Coturnix japonica: one gene and its partner. The main gene of each other region encodes a partner of the protein of the gene in region 2 in a complex. Links are inferred from orthologs where the notes say so. Each region holds a gene or a part of one and is shown on either strand. Other genes may lie near its edges.

Evidence for each region.
Region 1: the proteins of YWHAZ (region 2) and SOS1 are in contact, whole or in part, in a crystal structure (PDB 6F08), measured with the Homo sapiens proteins. The link is inferred for Coturnix japonica from reciprocal best matches to the Homo sapiens genes YWHAZ and SOS1. Residues at the interface, in NP_001129171.1 of Homo sapiens: Glu14, Asn38, Asn42, Ser45, Val46, Lys49, Arg56, Arg60, Phe117, Lys120, Arg127, Tyr128, Ile166, Gly169, Leu172, Asn173, Val176, Glu180, Asp213, Leu216, Ile217, Leu220, Asp223, Asn224, Leu227, Trp228; in NP_005624.2 of Homo sapiens: Arg1157, Arg1158, Pro1159, Glu1160, Ser1161, Ala1162, Pro1163, Ala1164, Glu1165, Ser1166.

Annotation. Positions count from the first base shown.
Region 1 is NC_029518.1:14,465,071-14,468,723, forward strand, and holds part of SOS1 (son of sevenless homolog 1), read right to left. Parts: intron 3,477-3,653; coding exon 3,212-3,476; intron 2,145-3,211; coding exon 2,026-2,144; intron 755-2,025; coding exon 260-754; 3' UTR 1-259.
Region 2 is NC_029517.1:116,478,765-116,482,417, forward strand, and holds part of YWHAZ (14-3-3 protein zeta/delta), read right to left. Parts: intron 1,001-3,653; coding exon 877-1,000; intron 1-876.

The DNA.
Region 1 (3,653 bases), on a different chromosome or scaffold from region 2:
TTCTGGTACAATCAGTTGTCCAATTATCTTAGAACAATGTCCTGCATACTAAAACAAGAACAGCGAATTAACCAGTTCTTCCACTCGAATGTCTGTTTTTGCAATTCCATTTCTGTACACTGCATTTCCAATTTACTGGAGAGTTTTTAGTGTTTGGCATATACACATCCCAACTCCTTGGCACCACCAGGTTCAGTGCATCCATTGCCAGCAACAGACGTAGCACCAGGAAAACGCAGCTCCCAGCGCAGGGGACAGTTCAGGAGGAGTGGGCATTCTGCAGCAAGGGCGGTCCGTCTCGATGCATCGATGGGTGTGTGTGCTCCCTTTTGTAAGTTTTTGGAGGAAGCTTTGGGATATGTTGAGAAGTGCTTTGTCGTGGAGGAACAGGTGGTCCAGCGACAGGATGGAGGTCCACATCTTGTTGTATCAAAGGTGGTGATGGAAGATGCCTCCGTGCTACATGTGGAGAAGGTGTCTGAGGGGGAGGGGGAGTAAATGGAGAGGGACTGTTTGGGAAAAAGGTGTTACCGAGTTCGCTTTTTCTCCCCAGTGGTGGAGGCTGGAGGTGTAGTGGTGAGCTAGAGAAAACATCTGGAGTTCGCACAGGTTCTCGTGGTGGTAACACAGGAGGGCTTTCAGGGGGGTCAGAGATGCAGGTCCGGTCAGGCACCGAGTACCTTGGTGAATACACTTTAGAGGTTGGTTGCCTAGGAGGGATTGCTGGCGGGCTGTCCAGGTGCGCAGAAGTAATCTGAGGTACACAAACATTTCATTTAATAAGAGTTTTAGAGTGGCAAAGAACAAGACCCTGCTGTGAAATGGAATTCCTATCCTGCTGACTGATCTTTCCACTTCAGCAGAAGACACAGCAAGCCAAGTGCAGAATGAAGATGGGGAGTAGCGAAGCAATGCCCAGGAAAATATGTTTCTCAGCACAGTGCATGTAGAAAGGACAAGCAGACTGGATGTGTACCAGAGTAAGAGCATGGGCATATCAATAATGAGTTAACAGGCAGGGATGCAGGGAGTGAAGATGCATGGAAAGGGAAAAAGGCAAGCCAAGGAGTGATCGGAGCAACATGCTGGTTCCAGATCTGCCTGCTGGGTAGGTCTAGGTATCTTCTACTGCCTTCCCAGTAACAGGTACCAATGACAGATAATAGGACCATGTATTTCTCCAAGAAAATGAGCAATAAAGAGGGGCAATGGTGCTGAACAGAGGAAAAAATACACTACACTCAGAAACTGGAGCTAAGTAGAATTATTGAAGTGAATGGTTCCCAAGCTGCAGTCCACAGTGACAAGGTAATTGGTCACACCACCACACTAACATATCTATAACGTTTCCAACTGAATTTTGATAGGATTGTGACACACTGAAGTCTGTTGGCTGACAGCACAGTGACCTACAGTCTGAAAAGGACATCATGTTTAGTGATATATGAAAGCTCTCTTGAAAGTCAGAAGACATATGCTACAATGTAATTTTGAGTGGGATCCTCAAATCTATCCAATTCTCTAGTCATCAATCAATTCCCACTGAAATCAAGAGAAATATAACACTGTCTAAAATAAAAGCTAGACTTGCTCGCAAATGCAAAAGGCAAAAAGTAGCAATGGCTCAAGCAGGCAGGAAAACAGGACGGGCAATCAACAATGAAAGCAATGAGCAGCACAGCATCCAGTGTCAAATACTGTAATGAGTTATTTCAGGGGACTAAGGAGTGTTCATCACATTCCATCATTACTGTTCTTCAATTCTTTACCCTAAATCATACAACCCAAAACAATCTTCTACAACAATTACTGCAGACAGAAACATCTTTAAGTTCTCAGAAGGACCTAATCACAGCAAATGAGCAGGCAGATGGTGAAGCTGGGCAGGCCTGAAATACATGGTTGCTTACTGTTTCACAAATAGATGTTCAAAAAAAATGTATGTATTATCTTTAAAAGTTTCTTTTTCCTATAATACTCTCCTCTTTTCTCTTATAAAAAACACCCTTTTTAGCTGTAACTTACTTTTGATGGGGAGGATTCAGCTGGGGCAGACTCTGGTCGTCTTCGTGGAGGAACTGGTGGGGGAACGTGAGCTTCATCTGAAGTTTTGGTAAAGCTTATGGATGACACAGAAGCAGATCCTAGTGAACACAGAGTGAAAAATCTCAATAATGAGTTTTTGTTCAATATAGAGTATTTCCTCTAGCATGCTAATAAAGGTGTCATTAACAGCAGCGTACCTTTACTTTAGTAAAATACTTGCTCATAAAATGCAGCATGAAGAAGGTATTAAGGAAATATACCACTGAACAACCATCAAACTTGAAGATTCCAAACTGCTTTTCTGAACTGCAATAAACTCAGTGGCCATTAATTCTCACTTTTGTAAGTAATCCGCTAGATCAAAACCCACATCACAAAGCTGTTCTCATATCACAGCAGCACTAAAACCACATCCTGAACTTGCAGCTTATGTGTCAATCCAACAATGAAGAAATATCTTATGAAGAAACAATCAGGAAGCCATCTTGGACCCTCAGCAATGCCACTGCACTGCTAAGCAACTACAGCTTTTATCAAGTTAGTTCACCTCTTTGTGGCAACCTGCTCAAAATGGGACTAACCCTGTATTTCCTTTGCATGCCCTTTACATTACAGGGCACTGCGTCCTGTAAAAATTATTGAAAGCACACAATAAAATATGAGCTTCCATGCATGCTGATGAAGACAGAAGAAAAATAGTGTAATAGGTCTTGACTGATTTAAAGCAGGACAACACAGACTAAGTTATTGAGGAAAAACACTCGTGTGCCCTGAAGCTGATTTGTAATGGCAGGCAGCAGATTAAGTCACCTGCAAAACACTCATGTCTATTCTCACTAGTCACCAAACACACTCACCACACACATACCTGGCAGCAAATGCTACAAGTGTTGGTTTGGGACATTCATGAACTAAGGATGATGCATCTTTGGCCTTCTGCTTTAACAGCTTCTCCAAAGACACGCAATACCCAAAATGCCCAATTCTGTTCAATTTCTCCCTCTACAACAAGAACCACTAATAAAAATGTAGTAAAATGTACTCAAAATTTTTCCTGCTACAAGGAGACAAAAATTGACTATGTTGCTATAGTCACTTAGCATGGTTTTACCTGTTTAAGATCACAAAATCTAATATACAGCCTTTGTACACTATTACCACCTACTTGCATGAAAGGGACTTGAAGGATCTGAGTCAAACACACTGCAAGCATCTGTAGTACTTGAAGTAGCAGAAGCGGGGGGTGGGGTCAGAGGCGTTCGTGGAGAGTTTGGTGCAGATGCTGTAGTTTCTGTCTCACTCTCTGGGATGCGGCTGTAACTAATTTTTCTTGGTTCCTGTTGCAGGGGTGTGGGGTGTCTCATGGTGCCTGGCCTTGGATTAGATGGCCGAACACCTGGGGACTTGAGAGGATAGCTGTACTTTTTGGGCTGAAATAACAAAAAAAGACAAAAATGTATCAAACAAAAAAACTCAAAACACACACACACTAATAATCACCAAAGTATAGTTTTGCACTTATGAAGTTAGAGATTGAAGATCACCTCTATCTGAGAAAGACAGATGTAAGCATTTTTGGGGAGAACATGAGAAAGAATACAAATACT
Region 2 (3,653 bases):
ACATTAAACAAAGATTTTACAGTCAGTAACTATCCTTATGAGAGTGTACCTTCTAGTTTGTAAATGAGAGATTACTGAACAAAAATACATCTGCTATGGTACACAGTAACACATTTATTTATTACACATGTGGTTCTGCAGTCACCAAGACTAGGTCAGCTTGCATGCAGCAAACACTAGAAGTCAAATCAAACACTGTTTATTAAGTCTTATCTTACTCGTCTTCATTACTATCCAGCAGACTGTGGAGACTGGCTCCAGGAAACAGCTTGGAGTTTGCTGTGAACAGTGCTATCTAAATGTAATAGATTCTCCTGAACTGAAGATGACTGCACAAAGACAAGGTGTTATTTAGGTGCCTCTTCAATACACTAGGTGGCTTAATGGCTGCAGTTAAGTACATTATTTTAACTTTACTTACCAAACACGAGTAAAGGCAACTTACCTGCTATGAGGACAAGCTACATGAGAAATTTAGGAAATAAAAACCATTTAGAAATCAAACTACCGTGGTTATGGAAAAAAATTACTGAACATCTGTTTCATTAATCCTTTCCTTCCCCAGGTGTATTCTAGTCTCCCTGCTCACTAAACTTATACAGACGTTCTTATGTGCTGCAGAAACGCAGGAGAACTAGCACTAAAGCACTTCAGAAAGCTACAGTGACTCCCTACGAAGAGGTAAAAACAGTACTCAGAGAGCCAGGAAAAAAAGCATTAACTGGTATGTCAGCGATAAGGCACATTCTTGTATGCATACACTGGATCTGATTTCAAGATTCTGTGACTGCAGAATCTGAAAAAGAAGTATTCCAAAAGTTACTGTAGCGTTGCTGTCCACTAAACTGACCAAAGATTTAGCGACAATTGACATACCTTTCTTGTCATCTCCAGCAGCAACCTCAGCCAAGTAACGGTAATAATCACCTTTCATTTTCAAATAGAAAACTTTGCTTTCTGCTTGCGAAGCATTAGGGATCAAGAACTTTTCCAACAGAGACTAAAAGAGAAGCAAAGAACAGCGTTTTGAACATGCATACTTTCATAGCTTTTGAACCAACAGTTTGATTATGCTACCATCTATTTCAAAGTCAAGACAAAAATAGGCAGAAGTAAAGCTGTCACATCCTACATAGCGTATTCGGCTAAGGAAAAAATGTGTTCTGGATCATAATTCTGGGTACTAAAAGGAACGATCCATGCTGTGACTCTATAGGGAGAACAGGAAAGAAGTCTGTTCATTTAGCAGATGAATGCTGAAGGGCCAGAGGAACGGTTTGTGTAGGCCCTGACAAAAATAATGTCATCCAAAGAGTCTGGGCAGAGCGTACACAATGGAATGAAGTCAGCATCCACAGATGATAAAAGGACTCAAAATATCAGCTGCCAAATCAGAGACCCAAATACCTTACATACACAGGCAATGGGAACTAGGCCAGGCTAATGAGGTTGTGGGTTTTTTTAATTAGTGTTAAGTGGAACTCTACATTTGGATCACCAAAGAGAAACTGCACAGTGAATCTGGATTCCTGCCTTTCTAGACAGTTGAATCAACAGCTGCTCAGCTGTGTGACTACATGCTGCCCATCCCTTCCAAAGCAACGGCAGCTCTCTGGAGTCACCCCACCAAATCCCCCCATATGAGCTGCCAGTTAAGACCAGGTATTTTTCTTTTCTAGATTGTTCTAACTGCTTATTAAATCAGCAATGCAAGTTACCAGCTGAAGCAGTCATGTAATTTAGCAGGAGTTCTATTATGATGAAAAGAAGAAAAAAAAAAAAAAAAAATCACTAGCTCCAACACATTTAGTCAAATTAAGGCACAAGCCTGTCAAACTTCTTGATAGTGAGTTCTTGAAGTCAGACTTTGAAAGAAAAGCCAGTTATTTAAAAACCAGAATAAGTGCAGAAGTGCTGTTGAGTACTCAAAATGAAATTAGAAACTGTTACATAAACTTTGCTAAGGCTATGTAACAATTTAATGTTTTATTTTTCTCTAAGAATTTTTGGATGTCTTCCCCCTCACCCCCCACTTCCAATTAGATGAATGACATTTCAGTTTCGCTGTTTTCAGCTCATCTTTCCAATGACACCACAGAAACGCGTGATGTAATGCAGGTCAAGCCCACAGAATTATGGCCACCTTACAGTGCTTCCTTGCAGATAGCAACCTCTGTGTTAACTGCATGTCTCCTGTATTCCTATTCACAACAGGAATACGGCACCACTGTGTCCCAATGGCACCTGTGGCACGGCTTTGGCCAATAAGCCAGCTGACATCAAGCTACAGAAAACTCAGTCAGAGACAGGAAGAAAAAGAGTGAACAAGTTTAAATATTGCTAATTTATTTATACAGATCATGAATATTTAGTCTAGTAGACTCAAACTTGTGAAAACTGTCAAAGTGAAGTGACCTATTGTAGTAGATCTCTGTCAGCAGACAGGGTAATGAAGAAGTTAGGCTGCCAGAAACAGGAGTTAGACAAGGTTCAGCCACACTTACGCTCCAGTTAGATTAAAATAACCCATACTAAGTGGGCTTCATTTGTTTCAACATAACGGGGGAAAGAGACATCTTTACTAATTGCTATTTCCTGCATGGCCAGGGCTGGCCTATAATCTCACTTTATAACAATGCAAGGATACATCAAGAAATACCACGCTCTTGCTTCCTGTTGGAGTGACAGCAGAGATGATCCTTTGGTAGCAAAGGGAACGTAACACAATCAAGGCAGCAGCAGCACAGTCACACAGCCAAACAGGCTGCCCAGCTGCCAGAGGCATCATTCTGGAAGGCACAAGCTATACCAGGAGGGCTTGGTGCCACTGCTGCCACAGCACTACTGGCACAAGCAGAGGGCTGCCAAGTACACAAGGCACACATTGGCCCTCTGTAACTACTTACAGCTCTGCTCTTACCCTTATGGAACTCCAGCATTCACAGCTATGATACTTATCGTCCTTGCCAAGACGGTGACTTCAGTGACAACTGAAGGGTTTTTTTACTACTGAGAGTAAGTCTTTTATAATTAGGCTGTCTCTGTAGGACTGCAATTAAGGCAGTTGCAGACTGCACCCACCACCCTCCCAGCACTGTGGGGAGCTGCCCTCCTTCCGTACACTCCATTAATTGGCCTGATCAAGGTATTTGCACTGATCAAGAAACAAATTCTCCATTTCTAAAGGAAGCTGACTGAAGAGAACAGCTCTGCCCAGTCCCACTGCAGCAACCAGCTTTCCAGACCTGAACTTCACTTAAGTCTCAAGTGAGTTAACCATACAAGTAGACATGGAGGAGAAAAAGCTATCAGTTAAGTCTTAATCATCAGATAGATGCTAGCAGGGCAATAGCTGCTTGGAGAATAAGAATCCTAGCAAAAAGTGTTCTAAGCCAACATTGAAGACTGCTGAGCTAGGAAAAACCCATTGAACAGTTGTTCATTCACACAGCATAACCTATGTCAAGTTTAACTCCTGGACTGCACATGCAGCCCATTCTTATCTGGATGAAGGAAGTCTCTTCTACCTTGATACCAGGTAGGACTGGTAGGTCACATACCTTCATGAGCATGCTGAATTCAAAGATCACTGAAAGATCCTTCTCCTACTATTTATCTATTAGGATTTAGTACTACATATTCAATTTCTCGTA